Oryctolagus cuniculus: one gene and its partners. The protein of the gene in region 5 interacts with the protein of the main gene of each other region in a pairwise test. Links are inferred from orthologs where the notes say so. Each region holds a gene or a part of one and is shown on either strand. Other genes may lie near its edges.

Region 1 (3,500 bases), on a different chromosome or scaffold from region 5:
ACGAAGAGATTTAATTGGGCCATAAAACATTTTTTTTTTTTTTCCCGAACAGTTGAGCCCCATATGGGGGTTGGCAGGCAGCAGAGAGGACCCTTTCAAGGTGTTCGTGTGAAGAACTCCGTGAAAGAACTCCTGCTGCACATCCGAAGTCATAAGCAGAAGGCTTCTGGCCAAGCTGCGGATGATTTTAAGGTGGTACGCATTTCTTGCTTTGAGTGGATTGGAGGGGAGGTTAGTCTGCCAGGGTTATTGCTTTCTACTGACCAGCGTCCAGTAAGTCACTTGCAGTTTTTCAGATGATAGAGTTCATAGGACAGAGACCGGACTTGTCTTGATGTCTGCTCTGTTCCTATCACTTAACCCAGTGCCAGGCACATGGTAGGTATCCGAGAGAAATTGATGAATGAAAGCAAGTTAGGGCCAAGGAAATAATCAGTATTCAGTTGACATGGGATGTTTTGACTACACAGGGAAAAGATAAATGGCCTTTATTAATTTAGTCTTAATAAGTTGAACTAAGGTGAAAGTGAAAATGGGGAAGTTGCAAGAGAGAATGAGAACTGAGAATGAAGTAAATATTGATAGAATAACTGATTCCTGGTAAGCTATAAAGGGCGGTAGAGATAAGTCTCTTTATTGATATATATTAAGCAGGAAACCATTTTGTGTATATTAAATTGGAAATTCTTTTTCTTTTATAGACACAAAGTGTGAATATAGAGCAGTTCACAGGTAAGAGTTACTTCTGTTCATAATCTTAGAGTAAAATAATTCAGTGTGATGATGGGAAAACTTGCAAGGTAAAACGGTCACTGACTTCATACTCATTTCTTGGGACAGAATTGAAGAACACAGTATCATATACTGGGAAAAGGAAAGGGCCTGATTTGTTTTCTGATGGACCAGCTTGCAAAAGGCCAGCTCTGTTGCATACCCAATTTTTGGTAAGGACTATTTGCTTCTGCATACCCTTTTGAAGTTATCCCTGAACTAATTTTAGAAGGAAGGCAGAGTACAAGGTGTGTTTTCTTTCTTTTGCAGACACCACCTCAAACACCAACGCCGGCAGAGAGCATGGAAGATGTTCATCACAATGAATCCAAACAGGACAGCTGTGCCGACCTGCTTCAGAACATTATGAACATTAAGAATGAATGCAGCCCAGTTTCCTTGAACACAGTCCAAGTTAGCTGGATGAACCCTGTGGTGGTCCCTCAGAGCTCTCCACAAGAGCCGTGTCGGGACTTTCATGGAGGGCAGATCTTCTCCCCACCTCAGAAATACCAACCATTCCAAGTCAGTGGCTCCTCCCAAGTGATGGACCAGGCTTCTATGTATCAGTATTCTCCGCAGAACCAGAATACAGAACAGCCGCCCCCGCAACATTACACCCATAACCCGACTCTGGAATACAGTCCTTATTCCAGGACTTCCCAGTCCCCCAGCTGTGAAGCAAGCCTCTTTGATAGTCAGGCACCACAGTTCTGCCCAAACACCACTTTTACAACCCTCCTAAGTGGTCATGGGGAATCTGAGAATATTACTGTTCCCATTCAGACTTCCCCCAGTGTCCAGCAGCAAAATGATACTCACTTGCAGAACTTCAGTCTGATGCCAAACAGTGCTTGTCAGGCCATGGCGGGGCATGATGCAGGCGCTACCGCTTTAAGCTCAATCCAGGACATCAGCAGTCCAATGAGCACCACACAGTTAGGGAAGTCATTTTTTCAGTGGCAAGTAGAGCAGGAAGAAAGCAAATTGGCAAATATCTCCCAAGACCAGTTTCTTTCAAAGGATGCAGATGGTGACACGTAAGTATCCTTTTATCTCGGGTACTTAAGTCAAACTTGTTGGATCTAGTGGGTGCAGAGTTTTTCTAGTTGGATACCTTAATTGTTGGCTAACCAAGATGACTATTATAGACAGAAACTGCTACTCCATGGTGACTCATATTTTAAGAGTTTACCTCTTTTCTTTTTGGCTGAAACTAATTGTTCTAAATTAATAAAAATATGTGTGTGTGTCTTTGAATAATTGGTTTTGGAATACCAGCATAAACTGTGTCTTCAGAAACCATAGTTAAGCATAAAAATTGTGAGTTGATTTATAGATTGAATCCTAATCTGTGCTAATGACTTTTGTGGCATTGGGCAAGTTATTTAACCACTCTCCGCCCCAGTTTCTTAACACGTAAAATGATAGTGCTTCTCACAGGGTTTTTATGAGTATTAAAAATTATAGTTCCAAAGGGATCAGCATGGTGCTTGGCAGCTTTTTTCTTATTTCTGGTAGCCTGAGTTATCCCTTTGCAACTTGGCTGTGTTACCAACCTACCAGAAAGAACAAATTATGCTCTGTAGTATTCCAGTTCAGTGTATCAATATATCAAAAAGAGGGTTAAAGGAAATTTTTTTTTAAGAGGAACTTCAGGGAAATTAGAAGTGATTCACCTCCTTTCCCTTGCTTGTTCCCCAGGTTCCTGCATATTGCTGTTGCCCAGGGGAGAAGGGCACTTTCCTATGTTCTCGCAAGAAAGATGAATGCCCTTCACATGCTGGATATTAAAGAGCACAATGGGCAGGTGAGGATCTTGGCAGAGTCTGGAATGGCAAAGATCTGGTCATAGTAAAGTGACTGATGGACCAGATAATTTCAGAACTGAAGAGCAAGAGCGTTTAGTTAATATTAACTTTGAGATATTGACTTTTGCTACCATCAACCTTGAAGTTATTAACATTGACTTTGTAGTTATTTGATCGAAGATTGAGTATAATAAAGCCTCACCCTGTTTATTTTAGTTTCCTTGTCTTACAATATCTGATTGCTTATTAGTAGAATTTATTTTCTCTATGTGGGATTTTCCCTAAGTCACAGTTTAATTTCATATGCCTTGTTAGGGTACTGTTACATGTTAAAATACATATACATAAAAATATATATACACATGTTTGTGTATGTATATGTATATGTGTATATGTGTGTGTATACATATATATATATATATGCTTTTTTTCTCCTGAACATCCACAGAGTGCCTTTCAGGTCGCAGTGGCTGCCAATCAGCATCTCATTGTTCAGGACCTGGTGAACCTTGGGGCCCAGGTGAACACCACAGACTGCTGGGGAAGGACACCTCTGCATGTCTGTGCTGAGAAGGGGCACCCCCAGGTGCTTCAGGTAAGAGGCAATGACGCAGACTCTCATCACTGTGGGCCGAGAGGGGGCTTGGATATTAGAAGTGCGATGTAGGTTTCTTGGTGAAATAGTGTGTTTTGAGTTGACTTTATTATTCCTTGGGATACCAAGAGATCAGTATTTATATAGTTTGTCTTTTGCCAACAGATGTCTGTTTTAAAATTTTGCAGGCAATTCAGAAGGGAGCTGTGAGGAGCAATCAGTTTGTGGATCTTGAGGCAACTAATTATGATGGTAAGCAGCTGAAACTTTATTGAATAAAGAATCATTTGGAGTCTGGAGTCCATAGCTTTAGGGTACTGTGT
Region 2 (4,127 bases), on a different chromosome or scaffold from region 5:
GAAGCAACAGCTGAGATACGGGGCGCGAGCGAGTGTGCAGAGAAACCCGGGACGATCAACTTACGTTTGTAGCCTCCGGCAATGCCGGACTGCGTCAGGCACCGCTGTAGCTCGTCCGCATCTATCTGCCCATCCTTGTGAGAAAACAGGGAGAGGTCTCAGAACAGCGAGCTGAGTTGCTCTTTAAAGTTCTTCCCCTGCCGCATTCAATGCAGCAGTCATAATAGTAATAATAAAAGCAACCATCATGCGTGAGCATTGTTTTTCAAAGAAACTCTTCCCAAAACGGGGCATGCCGCATCATCCTTCCAACTACTCTCTTCTCAGTCTGAGCAAGGAACGTGCCAAAGCTGAGCATTTTTAGCTTATTTATGGAGCTGCCTAAAAATCTCTTTTCTCTCATTTCCGTCTCTCTCTCTCAGCGGAGGAGGGAGACAGCAGGGGACAGAGCAGCCATCAGTAAGTCATCGGCTTGGTTCAAACAGAAGAGGCCTCTCTGATCACCTATTCTTGGGATGTGATGGCTTTGCAAGGCATGGTTTTACCTGGAAGGTACACTGGATGCGTTCCCAGGGCTCATTCATTGGCTGAACTAGCTCAGAACTAAATATATGTTGTTTGCAGTGGTTTTAAAATAAAGTGCCCCAGTCCTCAAGTCTGGTAAGTCATAAATGACGAGCGGGGGCTGGATGAGCGGAGCTGAGGCTGGGGCTGCTGAAAGCTAAGCAGGTGGAGTCACTTACACACTGGGGAGGCGGCAATCTAAGAACGCTCGTCTCGAGGTCTGCCTTGTCTTGTGGTTTCAAAGATACAGATCGATAACATGCGGCAGATACTTAAGAGGAAAGTCTTCCTGGTTTAGACTCAACTTTCCATTCAGATTCTTCAGCTGCATTTCTTAAGAGTGCTACCTTCAAAGGTGGTCCTAGGTTTTCATCCCATAACGTTCTGTAGCATTTTCACACTCAGTGTCTGCTAATTCTAGCTTTTGATCACAACAAGACTAAGTAGAATGCCCAAGAGCAAACACCCCTTCTGGACACGTCTGTGTTCGAACAGCAGTGGATCTGCCACACACAGCAGCCTCACCAGCTGGGGACTGTGCCCCCTCGGGGTAAGCCAGCAGCTGTCATGCAACCCGCAGAGGTGAGAGGTCTTGGGGAACTGACCTGAATTCTGACTCTAGGTCAACAGGCCACACCACCTGATAGGGACACGAAAGAGCCGGCTGGGGGACATCATCTGGCTGTCACAGGATTAACTTCCTGATACCACGAGGAGTAGTACCTTTCTTGTTTGGAAGCTGCTATTTTTACCATACCTACCTATTTCATAAGGAGGGAAACGCTGCAGAATCAAATTCAATGCAAAGAAATGCATTAGAGCCCATCCACGTAATTACTAATGCATGTCTTTACCTTGTGTAGCCCAGGGCTTATGTTCACCAGAGCTTGAATTTCTGCTCTTGAAAGCACCCATGGCCCCAGAGGATTCACACCGAAGGGCGTTCCAGCTCCCTTACACATCCGCAAAGTGTACTCTGGCCTACCCAACTTCACCCGCATTCAATCAAGGTTACTTCTGAACTGAACCCACAGAAACAGCAGTAACATCTGATCCTAACTTGTCCTGAGTATTACAAAATAACGACCCGACGCTGGAAACAAACAACTTTCCTTCTTTCTTTGGGAGAAAGGAAGCGACACATTTCTAGAACCAAGTTCATTTTTTTTCAGGTCCCACTGGCTCAACAGCTAACACAAGTGCAGACTCTGAATTTGAAAAGGAAAAAGTGGAAAAGCCAACCTGTCCAGCTACGGCAGCAAAGTACCCGTAGAGAGGATCCTGAGTTTGTGCAGGAAACGAGGGTCCTCCGGGAGCCCCTCCGTACTGTGGGATAGAAACACAAAGGTGTCATCTGCGGAGCCCAGGGTTCTTCGCTCGGCACAGGGCTTGGGTGCAGGGCCAGGCCATGCCCGCCGCCCTAAACCGGGGGCTGACCTCCCCCACCCCACCCCTTTTCTTCCATTCGCATCCCGCTAGAACTTTAAGAACCGGCAGCTTGGACCTGGAGGGGATACCCCGCCTGGGCCACGATTTGAACCTGCAGGCACAGGTAGCCTAGGCTGGTGACTTAAGGGCAGAGGGTAGAAGCGTTGTGCTCTGTCCCTGCAGCTTGTTGGGGGCTGTCAACAGGTCTCAGGCTCCTCCTCGGAGCTCGGGAGCTGGCGGCAATGCGGCCTGGCGCGAAAGGGGGCGCGGATGCGGGTGCCACGGCGACCCCGACGCGGCCCGGCTGCCAAGGCTTCCCCCTCTACCTTCTCGGAACGGAGAGCGGTAGATGGCAGGGCTCTGCTACACTTAAAATGGCTTCGGGGGAAGCCGGGAGGGAGGAGGAAGAGGAAGCCAACACCCAGTGTGCACCATTTAGTGCCGCCAGTATCCAACTGCAAGGTGGGCGTGTTGGGTCCCAATCCCCAGGCGCCAGGAGGAGCAGGGGCAGAGGGAAGAAGGGAGCGGGAGACAGGCGCCGAGCGCGGGGGCTGGAATGAGGGTGCGAGCGCTCAAGGGAGAGCCGGGGCTGCGGACGCCGGAGGAGCCTCCCGCAGCGCCTCTAAGGCTGGCCGGAGCCCGAGGCCAGCACTTACCCCGCCTGCGTAGTACCCGCCGCCAGCGCCAGGGTGCCCGGGGTACGACATGGTGCCGAATGCGCCACAGCCGCCGCCCTGCGCGCTCCGCCTCCCCGCCCCTGGGCGCCGGGCCGCCCCCGAGCGCACCACGTGGGCTGGCGGGGGACACGCACGCGAGCCGCCTCCCAACCGGGGGCCCCCCCGAGGGCGGGGCTCCCGGGCCTGGACGCCTGCGAAGCGCTGCGTGTGCCGGGCCAAGGCTGCGCTCGGGCGAAGGGCCCGGGGTGACCGCGCGCACCTGCCCCGCGACGCCCGCCCGCGCCTCGCCTCCCTGCGCAGCGATGGCACGTTCCAGCGCCGTCCAGCGCCCGCGGGCCTCTGTGTGTGCTTCCTAATTGGCTGTCTTCTGGCCCAGCCGTCTGCGTGGGGAGCTTTACTGGGAGAGGGGAACTCGCCGTCAGCAGAGGGCAGGGTGCGGTGGGAGACGGAGGCACTGGGGGAGCGGGACCCCGACAGCGCCCCTGGACGCCGGGAGTGAACTCCTGGCTGGCGCTGCGGCTGCCTCGGACCGACGGGGCGCGCTGGCATGACCTGGGTGGTTCTGGAAGAACAGTCCCTCTCCTCGAAATGACTCGGTAGAGCAAACCAGCGCAGAGTGGTGGACCGAGAGAGCTCCGCTCGGGTTCCCCGGAAAACTTTTTCTCTGCGCATTCGGATCTGCCGCAGTTCAGACGTGACATGTGGGTTTGTTTTGTGTCACTTCAGTGACACAAGAAATTGGTTGCTTGCCCTTGACTATTAAGGACTAGACTTATTAAAGATTTATTTATGTATTTGAGAGAGAGGTCTTCCATCCGCTGGTTCACTCCCCAAATGGCCGCAATGGCAAGAGCTGGGCCAATCTGGAGCCAGGAGCCAGGAGCTTCTGGGTCTCCCACGAGGGTGCAGGGGCCCAAGCACTTGGGCCATCCTCTACTGCTGTCCCAGGCCACATGAGAGCTGGATCGGGGCTGGCTTTATCTCAGCGGTTCCTTTGTCTACTGAATCAGAGAGCTGGATCAGAAGTGGAGCAGCCAGGACTGGAACTGGCGCCCACGTGGGATGCCGGCGCTGCTTTACCTGGTACATACACAGTGCTAGCCCCTAGACTTACTATTTTTAAAGACATTATGAGAATTACAAGATTTGGGGTGTTTGTAGTAGGGGTGTGCGGCGATCCTGCCCTGGGCACCTGCCCGCGTGCTGCTGTGCGTGTCCGCACATGCGCAGGATGCTCCATTCCGAATTCCTGGGCTGCCACCTGCCACGTTCATTGTTTTCTTCTTGCGTGTAATTTCCCTCACAGGCCCTCTCCTGAGATACCCATCCTCATCCTGAATCCCGAGGAAAATTCCAATGGTTCCTGTTGCAGGAAATGAACGCTATGTGGCCTGCTTTGCGTGGGAGTCGGGAAATAGGTTCCTGCGTGTGCAGCCGCAGGCAGACGTCAAGGTGGAT
Region 3 (3,500 bases), on a different chromosome or scaffold from region 5:
TGAAGTGAATGAACTGTAGCTCCATGCATCAATGTGGGTGAATCTCACAGACATAATATTGAACCCAGACTCAAGTCTCAGAGGATATCTGCTGCTCGATTCAGTTGGTTTAAAATTCACAGCTGGGGGGCCGTTGCTGTGGCTCTGTAGGTTAATCCTCTGCCTGCGGCACCGGTATCCCATATAGGTGCCAGTTCTAGTCCCGGCTGCGCCTCTTCCAGTCCAGCTCTCTGCTATGGCCTGGGAAAGCAGTAGAAGATGGCCCAAGTCCTTGGGCCCCTGCACCCGCATGGGAGACCCGGAAGAAGCACCTGGCTCCTGGCTTCAGGTCAACCAAGCTCTGGCCATTGCAGCCATTTGGGGAGTGAACTGGCAGATAGAAGACCTCTCTCTCTCTCTCTCTCTCTCTCTCTCTTTCTCTGTTTCTCTCTTTCTCTCTCTCTCTCTCTCTCTCTCTCTCTCCCCGTTTGCCTCTCTGTAACTCTACCTCTCAAATAAATAATACATAAAATCCTTAAAAAAATAAAGTTCATAGTGGGAAAAATAAATGCTGTTTATTCTTGTTTACATATGTGATAATGTAAAACAGCTAAGGCTTGATGAACACTCTTGGGATGTGGGGGTGTGGGCGACGGGAGATGAACTGGCAGAGGTGCAAGGAGACACCAAGAAAAACGTGAGGCTGGGGGGAGCCGCCCACATGCTGGCTTGATTATACTCTTTCAGCCCGATGTGTGTGCTCTTATATTCTTTTTGTGGTCCAGATTTCTTGAACACAATCTTGAAGTAGCATTTTGCAAAATGTAAGCATGATCTCACTCCCTTCAAAACATGAACACACAAGGAATGCACAGAAATGGGCTCTCAGGACTCAGAGCTGGCCGCTGGTGTCTGGGATAGTGAGGAATTGTAATCTTTCGGTTATATGGCTTTTTTAAGTTAAAATAAATCCCAGGCTCCACCATTTTACATATAACTTTGGGGAAATGACTCAATCTGTCTCGAGTCCAGTTTTACCCGTGTGATCATTTGTTTACTCAACAGACAGCTGGTTTTTGAGTGCCCAGGCCCCGGGGTTAACTGGGTCACAGGCGAGAAGATGGCTAGGCTCAGCCATGAGATGACTACAGTAACTCCCACCTCATACCAAGACCCTGTGAGAAACGAGGGGTGGCCTCGTGATGTGCCCCTGTTGACAGAGGAGGGGGCTCAGGCATGGCTCCCAAGTACCCTAGGCCAAAAGAGGGTAAGGGGCCCAGCAACAGGGGCACAAACCATCGCCTGGAAACACATTTGTGAAAATGCAGTGGCTGTTAGAGGATGCTCACTGCTTTGTAAACAAACCAGAAGTGTGTTTAAGGGAAAATGGGTTTGGGGCTGGCGTGGTGCGGTAGATTGAGCCGCTGTTTGCAGTACAGCAGCATCCCCTAATGGGGTGCTGCTTCAAGTCTCTGCTACTCTGTTTCCCATCCACCTTCCCACTAATGCATCCAGGAAGGCAGAGGAAGTGCCCCTGCCACCCATGTGGGAGACCAGAAAGGAATTCCTGGCTCCTGGCTTCAGCCTGGCCCAGACCTGGCCAGCACAGCCATTTGAGGAGTGAGCCAGCATATGGATGGATGATCTCTTTCTGTCTCCCTCTCTCTCTCTCGTTCTGCCTTTCAAATAAAGAAAATCTTTTTTTTTAAAGATCTTTTTAAAGATTTTATTTAATTGAAAGGTAGTGTTACAGATAGAAAGAGGGAGAGACAGAGAGAAAGGTCTTCTATCCACCAGCTCACTCCCCACATGGCCTCAGCGGCTGGAGCTGAGCCCATCCGAAGCCAGGACCCAGGAGCTTTATCCGGGTCTCCCATGTGGGTGCAGGAGCCTGAGCCCTTGGGCCATTTTCCACTGCTTAACCAGGCCATAGCAGAGGAGCAGCTGGGACATGAACTAGTGCCCATCTGGGATGCCGCCACCACAGGCAGAGGCTTAGCCCACTGCACCACAGTGCCAGCCCCAGTAAATCATTTTTAAAAGGGAAGATGGATTCCCCAGCAGTAAAACGTTACCACTTGAAATCTCCCTGTTTTCTGCCCATGGAAAGTTTTCTGCCTGTGCAGTGCCTGTGGGGCTGCAGGGAGACAGAGGGTCTGCTGTGCCCTCAGTCTCAGGATGCTCACCTTGGCAGCGCTGCGCAGGGGCAGTGGTGTCCGGGTGCTTCCAGGTAGAGGCTGGCGCAGGGGTAGCTAAAAGCTCGGACCCTTCCCCACCACGCCCTCCCAAGCTGACCTCTTTGGTTTCTGCTGTGACAAGAGAGCACTGGCTAAACATCCTGGGTTAGACCCTGTGTGTTGTTCCGTGCCTATCAGGAAGGCACGTCTACTATACCCGTCAGGTGGAAACTGAGGCGCAGGTGCGTTAACTAATCTGCTTCAAGGCACACACTAAGATCTGCACTGGTTGTTGAGCATTCTGCTCTACTGCCACGCTGGTGTGTGGCTTGTCTACTACGGTGGGCTTGTCAGAACCGAGAGATGGCACTTGGGCCGGCTGGAGACCTGTGGTAGCCTCCGGGAGCTGCAGGTGCACCGCACTCCCCCTCCTGCTGCCTCCCACCCCGTCACTCACCAGGGGCGGTAGTGGTGGGGGCGCTTTGCTCTGAGCGCTGACCGTCGCAGGGCTCCAGTGGCTCTTGCCCTTCTCCTTGACTTGCTTTTTGCTGCCCACCAGCCCCATCCTGTGGAAAGGACACAGCAGGTTGGTGGTAGGAGATGGCAGGGCTGCCTCAGGTCCCGTGCAGGCAGGAAGGTGGAGGAGAAGGGTGGTTAGAAGGGGTGGGCAAGCTGAGCCTGTGTCCGTCATTTTTCAGTGGCCCAGAGAAGAGAACAGGACACAGAGATCACTTGGCCAGAAGCAACAGCCAAAAACTACTGGAGTGGATCCCAGGCTCCTGGGGACAGGTGTCTGGGTAGGGAGGCTCTTGAGTGTTCTAGAAAGAGCCCGATCAATGTGTTAGGTGTCTGGGTTTCAGGCTTCCTTTGGCTACTGGCTATGTCACTTCAGACTGTCCTGTTTCCTTTTTGGGCCCATGGGCTCCTGGTAACCCGCAGAGCTGTGCTGGGGCAGGCGGGAGGTGCGTTCCGGCTCCAGCTGGCAGATGGGGTGCTAGAACAAGGGAAGACCAGCAGCGCAGGCTTCTCAGGAGTACCTGGGGTCTCCTTGGGAGAGGACAAAACTATGGCCAGGAGTGTTATCCAGGAAAGAATCTTAGGATGACAGACGTAGGGGAGACCCTAAGGACCAGGCCATTAGTACCATGTCCATGCCAGGAGGCCATGCTCTTTAGGGAGGCTGCTTCTCCACCCTGTTAAATAGCTTGTTCCTGGTGAAACAGTCAGCCGGTGCAGAGCTAGCCCAAGGTCCAGTCCAGTGCTGGGCCAGCACACTCATCTGGCCCAGGCCTGAGGTGTAGACCTTTGTGGAGAGAAGGGTCCCTGGGTCCCTGATGTTTTATT
Region 4 (3,500 bases), on a different chromosome or scaffold from region 5:
CCACCCAGGCAACAGCGGAGTGCCTGAGCACAGCCTCAGGAAGCATTTATTAAAAAACTCCTGGCTGATTCCCTTCCATGCAAATCTAAGCCCAGAAAGAGAGCAAAATAACAATGGAGTCTCTGCACTCTCAACCCTAGTCATGCGCTGAGCTAAGAAACCTACCCCAATATCCAGTGCTTAGTGAGTCCTTCCAGAGTCAGCAGAAGGCTGAATCCATGTAGCTATGTTCTCTGCATAGCCTCTTTTTAAGGTGCTGTCCTCTCTGTGTGGCTGAGTTCCAGTCTGAAACCAAACTTATAGATTCAAATGCTAGCTCTGCCATTTCAAGCTTTCATGGCATTGAGCAAGTTGAACAAATGCCTGTGGCTCAACTTTGTCACTTGAAAAGGGGGTATAATGATGATGATTATGTTCTAGGGCTACTGTTAGCTAATCCATATGGGATTAAAACTGTCTGGCACATGGTGAGCAATTAATAAGCTAAGAGCAGTTACAGTTATTGTTGTTGCTGCTGGCAAAAGTAGTTTTCCTTGCTCCACTCTCTGCACCCCAACACCTAGGCATGTAAGACACTCCATAGTCATCTCATACAAAGCCATCCATCGCCAACATCTGGAGTGCTATAAGTCACTTTGCCACTGGTTGTTAGCTCTTTTGTCCTTGTAATTGTCCAACAAAGCACACAGGACAGTTGCTTTTATTTCACCATTTTACAGATGGAAGGATTGAGGGTCAAAGAGAGTTTATAAAGATCTGCCCACAAAGTGTCTGACTTGAAACCAGGCTTCCAATAACAAGTTATGTTCCTTTATCCACATTCTGTGTCTACACTGAAACCCTCAATATTTTGGAACAGGAATCAGACCAAAACTTGATTAGGATAATTTGGAAACACATATTTCTATGTGTGTGTCCTTTTTCAACAGTGAATCACATTACCCTCTGCCTTGGTACCTTCTGCGTGTACCCTATCCCATGATGCTTATGTTTATATTTATGATAATTAAGTGATGAAAGTGATGAAAGTTATTTTATTTTGAGAAGGTTTTTATAACACCTATCTCCAGTGTGAGATGATAGGATGTACCCTGAGTGGTTGTACAACATTTTTCAATGCCAGAAGTCCTGTCCCCAGTGCATCTCAGTTGCACATGATGACACCTGGATACTGGCTAAAGCCAAGAACTAGGAGAAGACTTTGATCACTGAGTATAAAAAGCTCTATGACCCTCTGGCCCTGAAGTTTCCACCAAACCTCATATTAAATGCCTTAATCACACTTTTTGACACCAGATTCATTTCTGAAGGTGACCATGTAGACAAATCAGAAAAGAGATAAGGAATCAAATGAAAACAGTCCTAATTAATGAAAACGAAACCCTCTTTTATGAAACTTCCTCAATGGGCTTGAGTGAATTTCATGCTGACACCACAAGCCAGTTGGCCATTTGCACCAAAAATATGCACCCTTTCTCCTCTTTATAATTGCAGCTTTAACTAGAATGATATTACAACCACAGCAATTTATTATTATTTATTATGTTTCTTATGTGCCAAGCATAGAGCAGATAGACAGATATTGAATCTATATAACAACCAGATGAAGTAGTTAGCAAGCTGTGCAACTGGACTCAAAGCCCAGTTCTTGACCACTGTGCAATACTCTGAAATGTGAAACAGGTGTATTATTTTTGATTAGCCTAAAGCAGTGTGCATCAGCTCACCACTGTTTTCTAAAAGTAAAGGAAAAGAATAGACTATTTTATGGGGAGAAAGTACAAGCTCGCATGAGGAATTAAAGGACAGCCTCATCAACTTCAAACCGCAAGCCCCACTCCCAAAAGAACTTTCTACTCGTGCTCAGGGGTGGGAATACTCACAGCCTAATCGTCTTGGCCTCCCTCACTTTTATCTCCATCATTATCCTAAAAGAGAATTCATGTTCTGAATAATGATCGTGAAGAACTTCAAAGCCTCTCAAATGTCAAAGGAAGATTTGAGTTTTATAATTATTAAGGGTGGAAAGTTGAAATTTTATTGTAGATGAATTCAGTATGTGCACGAAGGATACGTTGAGTTCAGAGCAGAGCCTCTTCCATAATTACTGGGTGTCATGAGTACCTCCCGATAAACACCAGCTGTCAGGGCTGGGAACCCCTCCTGACTTCCGTCTCCTGACATCCATACATTTAAAATAATTATCTAACCATTGCTGCATCAAGCTTCAGTCATTTATGTAAAATGCTTTTTTAAAAAACATTTTCTTCTTTACTAGTGATAAAAAAGGAACTGTCAAACATTACCATGTGCATACAAATGGTGAGAACAAATTATATCTGGCAGAAAACTACTGTTTTGATTCCATTCCAAAGCTTATTCACTATCATCAACACAATTCAGCAGGTAACCTATTTCAATCTTTCTTTTATGGGATCTTGTTGGTAAATATCCGTTTTCTTGGATACTACTGATCATAATATTCCTAATTATATAGGGAACCTCGAAAGTAGGAAAAAATGCTGTTGAGCCCTTTGGTTATGTGACTTTTAACTTATTTTCCTGGAATATAACAAGGTATACTCCAAAATGCCATAAAGAATGACACTGAATGAGTTGAACAACTTAAAAGGATAAATTATCTTTATAAAAGTATCTGTAAGGTTTCTCCTGCCTATAGAAACAAGTTAATTCTAAAATTCAAATATTACAGAAATATATGTCAATAGGTGGAGAGCCTCCATGGACAAGTTAGTGTCTATTATGATAGATTTTTTGTATGCTGATACTAACACTTATGATTCATTATATATAAATAGAAATGATATGTATATACATTACCTTTTTACAGAAATGAGATCATTCTACACCTACTGTTCAGCTTTCTTTTTCTCTTCATTATGTCTTAGGGATTTTTCTTTGTATGTATAGCTTATTTTGATCTATTTAACAGCTACATAGAATTCTTTGGCAGAGTTACTCCATATTTTTTTTAATTTACTTGACAGGTCGAGTTATACATAGTGAGAGAGAGAAAGACAGAGAGAAAGGTCTTCCTTCCATTGGTTCACTCCCCAAGTGGGCGCTACTGCTGGTGCTGCACCAATCCAAAGCCAGGAGCCAGGTGCTTCCTCCTGGTCTCCCATGCGGGTGCAGGGCCCAAGCACTTGTGCCATCCTCCACTGCCTTCCCGGGCCACAGCAGAGAGCTGGACTGGAAGAGGAGCAACTGGGACTAGAACCTGGTGTCCATATGGGATGCCGGCGCCACAGGCGGAGGATTAACCAAGTGAGCCACGGCGCCGGCCCCCTGCATAATTTATTCACCCAGCTCTCTGTTGGTTCGCAGATGGGTCATGTTCAATATTTTGACATTGCAATGGATGCTTCAATGTACAATCTTGTGCACATAGCCCTGTGTACCCAGATAGTTCCTATAGCCAAATTCCTAGAAGTGGAATTTCTGGCACAAAGGCTAAGACTATTAAAAATGTCCATGTT
Region 5 (3,500 bases):
CTTGCCCCACTTTGTGCAGACCCACTCCCTGCCCGTGGTGGTGATCTCCAACATCTGCCAGATGCCGAACGCCTGGGCGTCCATCCTGTGGTACAACATGCTGACCAACAACCCCAAGGTCGGTGCCCGGGGCTCGCCGGTAAGGACCCAGCACCGGTCACTGGCACCACGCCCTCGTCTGAACGGCGACCGCGGTGTCTTCACAGAACGTGAACTTCTTCACCAAGCCTCCGATCGGGACCTGGGATCAAGTGGCCGAGGTGCTGAGCTGGCAGTTCTCCTCCACCACGAAGCGGGGGCTGAGCATCGAGCAGCTGACCACGCTGGCCGAGAAACTCCTAGGTTCGCTGTCACCTCTTCTTCCCCTGCCCTCCTCAGACGAGGAATCTGGCCCGGGGGGCTCTCCTGCAGTCGGTGTGCCCTGAGCAAGGCACTGTGCTCGGGCAGGAAGCTTTTGCTCCGTGAGGTTGGGCGTCGGGGTGCAGGGACCTGCCGCTCGCTTCTATGAGGTGGGAGGGAGATTTTTCCGTTTTTCTCCTCTGGTTGCTGTCTTTCCTGCCCTTTGAGGATAATATCTTGTCCAACCTTATAAAATTTTTTTAAATAAACTTGTAAAACAATTATTTCATTTGAAAGGCACAGAGAGATTGAGATCTTCTGTCCACCGGGTCACTCCCCAAATGCCTGCAATAACCATGGCTGGGCTAGACCAAGGCCAGGCACTCAGAACTCAATCCATGTTTCCCACGAAGGTGGCAGGGACCCAAGTACTTGAACTATTTCCTGCTCCCTCTCAGGGTGTGTGCTAGCAGGAAGCTGGATCAGAAGCAGAGTAACTGGTACTTGAACTTGGCACTCTGATAATGGGGTGCAAGTGGTGAGTCAACCACTACACTGAGTGCCTGCCCCATCCTTTTAGGATATTTAATGTGTTTCTCAGAAGGTGGTGCTGAAGACCTGATGTTTTCTGTCCATTTCTTCGATAAACTGTAGCCTAGTTTGAAGTTTTTCTCCCCTGGAGAAAGTTTCTAGAATGCTCTGTGTGTCACCTGGACTATGGATAACTTTGGTGCTGCCATCAACTCTGTCAGCTTGATGGTGTGTGCTGCTGCTCCCCATCATCCGCTACCTCTGCCCAGCTGCACAGCAGCCCTGGAGGGCCAAGGGATGGGAGAGGGTGTGTGCATGTGCGTGTGTGCGTGGACACGAATGGCAGTGGCAGCCTGCAGACACGTGACAGCCAGTAGCTCCATGGCCTGTTACGGGCCAAGTGTGTGTGCTAAGAAGTAAGGTGTTGACTCAGAGCTGAACATTTGCTACTTTTCTTCTTTGTCCCTTCAGGACCTGGTGTGAACTATTCAGGGTGTCAGATCACATGGGCTAAATTTTGCAAAGTAAGCAACCGTTTTACTCCTTGCTGTTGTCTCTTGGGAGTGAGCATGGGAGCGCGTCCCTAAAAGATGGGCATAGTGCTTGCTGGGCCTTCAGGCCAGTGACTTCTGGTCCAGTGGCTTCTAGGACCTCCTTGAGGGCAGGGGACCTAAGGAGGTATTTTTGGGCAGTGCCCTCTGCCCCAGGGAGAAAAGGCTGGGGTGGCGATGGACTTGATTTCCCCATTATTTTCTTCAGGAAAACATGGCTGGCAAGGGCTTTTCCTTCTGGGTCTGGCTGGACAACATCATTGACCTTGTGAAAAAGTATATCCTGGCCCTTTGGAATGAAGGGTAGGTTGAGCAGAGAGCGCCCGGGGTAGCCAAGTCACCTGCCTCTCAGCCCCAAGGCCCGGGACCAATGGCCTGGAGCCCCAGCAATGCTGTCCTCCTCTCCGGCTCCAGGTACATAATGGGCTTTATCAGCAAGGAGCGGGAGCGGGCCATCCTGAGCACCAAGCCCCCAGGCACCTTCCTACTGAGATTCAGCGAAAGCAGCAAAGAGGGAGGTGTCACCTTCACGTGGGTGGAGAAGGACATCAGTGGTAAGTGAGCTCTGCTGCTCCCTCGCGGCGGGGCTGGTTCTGAGCACTGCTGCCCTCTGGCGGGCAGAGATGGCCTCACACTCCCCTGCCCCACGCAGACAGGTGCGGCCACCTTTGAACTCCTGCGTCTGAAAGATTGACTTGCCAGTCTGTTTCGCTTGTTCCAGTGAGCAGTGTGTTCCAAGAAATTTGCAGTTGAAATTTTTTATTCTTCATCCTCTTTCTTGCCTACCCTCACTAACACATCTTACTCCGGTCTGTTGCCTATGGCCAAAATGATAGTCTCTGTCATAGTCATCCTGGCCCTTTCCACAGTGCCAGGCCACAGGGAGGGGTATTCAGGGGCGCGAGCGCTGGCCTGCCATAGGTCTGTCCCCACCAAGGAGACACGCCTGGGGGGAGTATGCTGTGGGAGTACGCCTAGCCGCAGGTGCCAGCACCTCTCCTTCCCACCTCGTGCGACAGGGAAGACCCAGATCCAGTCGGTGGAGCCGTACACCAAGCAGCAGCTGAACAACATGTCGTTTGCTGAGATCATCATGGGCTATAAGATCATGGACGCCACCAACATCCTGGTGTCTCCACTCGTCTATCTCTACCCCGACATTCCTAAGGAGGAGGCGTTCGGAAAGTACTGTCGGCCGGAGAGCCAGGAGCACCCTGAAGCTGACCCAGGTAGTTGTTGATTTTCCACGTTCCCGTCCTCCTTCTTGGGAGGAGCTGCAGGTTGCGGGGTCCTTGGCGGAATAACCTGGGAGACCCTCGTTCTCCTCCTGGGGAGGAGCTCGCCAGGCGCTGCTGGCCGTGGCCGATGTGATTTGAGAGAAGAGTGGACTCCGGGTGGCCAGCCCCTGCCCCACAGGGAGCACCCCAGTCTGAATGGGGAAATAGGTCACCCCTGCCCACGAAACGTGAGAGGACTGGATGCCCAGCTAGCACGGTGCTTCCTGTGTTGGGGGTGCCAGCAGGGCCGGGACGGAGACCTGAGCCCCGCAAAGCACCGGAGCAGTGGCAGGAGGACTGCAAAGCTTCCTGGAGGACACGGGCCTGGCGGTGCCAGAGCAGGGAGCACCGCGGAGGAGGGCTCGCAGGGGTGAAGGCAGCCGGTGCGAGGGGTGTGGGATTCGCATGTAGGATGTGCGGCTATTAAAATCAGTTTTTAAAGATTTATTTATTTGAAAGACAGTGACAGAGGGAGAGGAAGAGATACGTTACACCTGTGGCCCCTGGGTCCTTGGTGTGAACCGTGGGTAGGGGGAGCCCTCCTGTCTGCGTCCATCACACGCTTGCCACTCCAACTCTGGCTGGCTGTCCCCGCACCTGTCCTGAGGAGCAGCCTCTGGCTTGCATTCTTCTTTCCCTTTTCTAAAATTGAATTTCCTTCCTTCCTTCTTTGAGAGACAGAGTGCCCCCATCTGTTGATTCACTCCCCAGATACCTGCAGGGGCCTTAGCAAAGGCTCACGCGTTACCTGAGCCATCACTGCCGCCTCCCGGGTCTGCGTTAGCCCGGACTCCGAGCCCGT
Region 6 (3,500 bases), on a different chromosome or scaffold from region 5:
ACGTGGGAGACTTGGAAGACACTCCAAGCTCCTGGCTTCAGATCAGCCCAGCTCTATCCATTAAGGTCATCTGGGAAGTAAACCAGCAGACGGAAGACTCTCTCTCTCCCTCTGCCTCTCTGTAACTCTGCCTTTCAAATAAATAAATAAATCTTAAAAAAATAAATAAAAGAAAGTGGAGCAGCTGGGACTTGAACCGTCACTAGACTATGGAATGCCGGCATTGCAGGTGGCAGTTAACCCACTGTGCTACAACGCCAGTTTCTCTTTCAATTCATTTTCTTCGTATTTATAGACAATCATATACACATTACATTACAAAAACGAGGTCAAATCATACATACATACATACATCTTGCAACACGTTCCTTTTCTCAAATTGACAGTAAATATTTCTTTGTGATGATACATACATTTCTAAATAATTTGCAGTATGTATAAATAAACCATGGCTTACTTAATAATCTCCTATTGCTAGCATTTTGGTTTTGCTTTTAATTTTTCATTAACACATTATGATCAACATTGTGTTCTGTTTTGTTTTGACAGGCAGAGTTAGACAGTGAGAGAGACAGAGAGAAAGGTCTTCCTTTGCCATTGGTTCACCCCCAAAATGGTTGCTACGGCTGGCTTGCTGCACCGATCCAGGTGCTTCCTCCTGGTCTCCCATGCGGGTGCAGGGCCCAAGTACTTGGGCCATCCTCCACTGCCTTCCCTGGCCACAGCAGAGAGCTGGACTGGAATAGGAGCAATCGGAACAGAATCCGGGGCCTCAACCAGGACTAGAACCCGGGGTGCCGGCGCCGCAGGCGGAGGATTAGCCTAGTGAGCCATGGCGCTGGCCATGATCAACATTCTTAGAAGTGAATCTTTGAATGCACCTTTAATTATGTCAGTATAAAACTCTAGAAGTAGAGTTGCTGTTTCAACATTTTAATCATTGAAAATTTTGACACAGGATGTTTGAGGAAGGGTTTGCCAATTCTTGTTTATATTATCGGGGTAGAATGGTATTTTTCCTTAAACAATGGCAAATCATTCAACACATATTAGGTGCCTACTAAGTGCGAGAGGCACTATGCTGCTCTCACCAGAACCTGACACTGTCATTCTTTGAAATTTCTTTGCCAATACAATGAATTAAAAATCGTATCTCGGGGTCAAAGCTGCGGTGCAGCAGGCTAGGCTGCTGCCTGCAGTGCCAGTATCCCATCCGAAGGCAGGCTCGAGCCTCAGCTCCCTGCTAACGCACTTGAAAAGGCAGTGAAGGATGGCCCAAGTGCTTGGGCCCCTGCACCCACGTGGGAGACCTGGAAGAAGCTCCTGGCTCCGGATCAGCCCAGCTCTGGCCGTTGCGCCCAACTGGGGAGTGAACCAGCGGATGGAAGACCTCTCTCTCTTTGCACCTCTCCTTCTCTCTCTGTGTAACTCTTTCAAATAAATAAATAGATCTTTAAAACTTCTTTGTCCATTTTCCTAAGGTGCAATTGTGGGTGTTTTTTTTCACTTTGTAAGCATTTTTAGTTAATATTTAAAATGTTTGTCATTTGTTGCAAATATTTTCTCCATTCATATAAACAGTAAACAGTATTTACTAAGTCAGGCTGGGCCAATTATGTCACTGACATTATTCTAGGTGTTCTAGGTGCTGGGAATACAAAGGTGATCAAAGAAATAATTTTTGTTCTCTTGGAATTTACATTCTACGGTGTCCTGTCACTTGCCTTTTTAGTATTTTGGGAAATTTACAAGGTTTTAAACTTTTCTTTTTTTTTTGACAGGCAGAGTGGACAGTGATAGGGAGAGACAGAGAGAAAGGTCTTCCTTTGCTGTTGGTTCACCCTCCAATGGCCGCCGCGGCTGGCGCACCACACTGATCCGAAGCCAGGAGCCAGGTGCTTTCCCTGGTCTCCCATGCGGGTACAGGGCACAAGCACTTGGGCCATCCTCCACTGCACTCCCGGGCCACAGCAGGGAGCTGGCCTGGAAGAGGGGCAACCGGGACAGAATCTGGCGCCCCGACCAGGGCTAGAACCCAGTGTGCCGGCACCGCAGGCGGAAGATTAGCCTATTGAGCCGCGGCGCCGGCCAAGGTTTTAAACTCTTACGAAGGGGCCAGCACTGTGGCATAGTGGATAATGCCGCTGCCTACAGTGCCAGCATCCCATATGAACACTGGATCAAGTCCCGGCTGCTCCACTTCTGACCCAGCTCTCTGCTATGGCCTGGAAAATCAGTGGAAGATGGCCAAAGTCCTTGGGCCCATGCACCCCCATGGGAGACCCAGAAGTTTCAGGCTCTTGGCTTCGGATCTGCCCAGCCCTTGCCATTGCGGCCATTTGGGGAGTGAACCAGCAGATGGAAGATCTTTCTCTCTCTGCCTCTCTGTAACTCTGCCTTTCAAATAAAATAAGTAATAAACACATACATAAATAAAATAACTTTTATGGAATCAAATATATTAATGCATCACAGTAGGGCTTCTGCCTCTGACGTCTCACTTAAGTATTATTTTTTATTAAAAATTTTAAAAGGTAATATTTAAAAAGTGCATCTTCTCCAAAGTCCCAAAGTAACCCTACCCTGATCAAAAACAGCCTCTTACATCTGTGTCGACCCACTGACGGACGTCCATGGGTGCAGCTGTCATGTCATCTATTTTGTAAACAATGTTGGTTGGTGCCTTCTCCGCATGTCTGATTATCCCCACGATGGTGACCTAGGTTAGGAGAAAAAAAAACAACTTTATCTTTCAAGAAACCAAAGCAGCACATATGCATTTTTAAATTAAGTCATTTCATTCTTTATATGATCGACTCTTACACAAATTCTTTCACATACCTGTGAAATCTCAACATTCCCAATTTTGAAAACTTCATCGGCCAGAGTGGCAGAAAGCAGCTGGGATATGGTACAGGGCACAATGTGCTGGGCTCGGGCTCTCTGCAAAGCAACGTGTGCATAAATTCAACTAAAAGTATAGTGATGACCACGCATTTAACACCTGCCACCTGCCAAACACATTAAATAAATTGGAACATTAAACTTTCTCTAAAAAAATTTAAACAATTTACTTTCATTTTATTTGGAAAGCAAATAAAGAACTTGAGAAAGAATCTTCCGTCCACTGACTCACTCCCCAAATGCCTGCAATAAGCAGAGCTGGGCTGGGCCAAGGCCAGGAGCCAGGACCTTGAACCAGGTTTCCCTCATTGGTGGTAGGGACCCAAGTCATCCGGGCCATCATCCGCTGCCTCCAGGGTACACATTAGCAGGAAGCTGATACAGAAGTAGAGTCAAGACTTACACACAGGCACGAGGACAGGATGCAGGCGCCCTAGGCAGTATCATCACTGCTACCCCAAATGTCCACCCTGGACACTGAATCACAGGGATCACATAGCTCACAAATGCCACATCTGAGAATTCAAACCTGGGTTGTTCTGACCTCAAAGCTCCCACGGAACAGGTAAGTTGGAGCCACAGGGAGGACTCAAGAA

Evidence for each region.
Region 1: the proteins of STAT3 (region 5) and NFKBIZ interact in a two-hybrid assay, tested with the Homo sapiens proteins (2 studies listed by BioGRID and IntAct). The link is inferred for Oryctolagus cuniculus from reciprocal best matches to the Homo sapiens genes STAT3 and NFKBIZ.
Region 2: the proteins of STAT3 (region 5) and SRI interact in binary tests that used the Homo sapiens proteins (3 or more experiments, as listed by UniProt). The link is inferred for Oryctolagus cuniculus from reciprocal best matches to the Homo sapiens genes STAT3 and SRI.
Region 3: the proteins of STAT3 (region 5) and BLK interact in binary tests that used the Homo sapiens proteins (3 or more experiments, as listed by UniProt). The link is inferred for Oryctolagus cuniculus from reciprocal best matches to the Homo sapiens genes STAT3 and BLK.
Region 4: the proteins of STAT3 (region 5) and BMX interact in binary tests that used the Homo sapiens proteins (3 or more experiments, as listed by UniProt). The link is inferred for Oryctolagus cuniculus from reciprocal best matches to the Homo sapiens genes STAT3 and BMX.
Region 6: the proteins of STAT3 (region 5) and RPA2 interact in a two-hybrid assay, tested with the Homo sapiens proteins (2 studies listed by BioGRID and IntAct, with this or other methods). The link is inferred for Oryctolagus cuniculus from reciprocal best matches to the Homo sapiens genes STAT3 and RPA2.

The regions. Positions count from the first base shown.
Region 1 is NC_091435.1:56,493,375-56,496,874, forward strand, and holds part of NFKBIZ (NF-kappa-B inhibitor zeta), read left to right. Parts: intron 1-52; coding exon of another isoform or gene 53-63; coding exon 64-192; intron 193-701; coding exon 702-732; intron 733-840; coding exon 841-944; intron 945-1,041; coding exon 1,042-1,811; intron 1,812-2,475; coding exon 2,476-2,581; intron 2,582-3,030; coding exon 3,031-3,177; intron 3,178-3,365; coding exon 3,366-3,429; intron 3,430-3,500. UniProt on the Homo sapiens protein: Involved in regulation of NF-kappa-B transcription factor complexes. Inhibits NF-kappa-B activity without affecting its nuclear translocation upon stimulation.
Region 2 is NC_091447.1:47,172,397-47,176,523, reverse strand, and holds the start of SRI (sorcin), read right to left. Parts: upstream 2,801-4,127; 5' UTR 2,700-2,800; coding exon 2,649-2,699; intron 1,891-2,648; coding exon 1,807-1,890; intron 135-1,806; coding exon 65-134; intron 1-64. UniProt on the Homo sapiens protein: Calcium-binding protein that modulates excitation-contraction coupling in the heart. Contributes to calcium homeostasis in the heart sarcoplasmic reticulum. Modulates the activity of RYR2 calcium channels.
Region 3 is NC_091433.1:42,982,853-42,986,352, forward strand, and holds part of BLK (tyrosine-protein kinase Blk), read right to left. Parts: intron 2,723-3,500; 5' UTR 2,722-2,722; coding exon 2,614-2,721; intron 1-2,613. UniProt on the Homo sapiens protein: Non-receptor tyrosine kinase involved in B-lymphocyte development, differentiation and signaling. B-cell receptor (BCR) signaling requires a tight regulation of several protein tyrosine kinases and phosphatases, and associated coreceptors.
Region 4 is NC_091453.1:1,655,933-1,659,432, forward strand, and holds part of BMX (cytoplasmic tyrosine-protein kinase BMX), read left to right. Parts: intron 1-2,278; coding exon 2,279-2,406; intron 2,407-3,500. UniProt on the Homo sapiens protein: Non-receptor tyrosine kinase that plays central but diverse modulatory roles in various signaling processes involved in the regulation of actin reorganization, cell migration, cell proliferation and survival, cell adhesion, and apoptosis.
Region 5 is NC_091448.1:20,494,264-20,497,763, forward strand, and holds part of STAT3 (signal transducer and activator of transcription 3), read left to right. Parts: intron 1-19; coding exon 20-118; intron 119-206; coding exon 207-342; intron 343-1,341; coding exon 1,342-1,394; intron 1,395-1,629; coding exon 1,630-1,724; intron 1,725-1,835; coding exon 1,836-1,975; intron 1,976-2,440; coding exon 2,441-2,653; intron 2,654-3,500. UniProt on the Homo sapiens protein: Signal transducer and transcription activator that mediates cellular responses to interleukins, KITLG/SCF, LEP and other growth factors. Once activated, recruits coactivators, such as NCOA1 or MED1, to the promoter region of the target gene.
Region 6 is NC_091438.1:143,728,122-143,731,621, reverse strand, and holds part of RPA2 (replication protein A 32 kDa subunit), read right to left. Parts: intron 2,944-3,500; coding exon 2,842-2,943; intron 2,720-2,841; coding exon 2,606-2,719; intron 1-2,605. UniProt on the Homo sapiens protein: As part of the heterotrimeric replication protein A complex (RPA/RP-A), binds and stabilizes single-stranded DNA intermediates that form during DNA replication or upon DNA stress.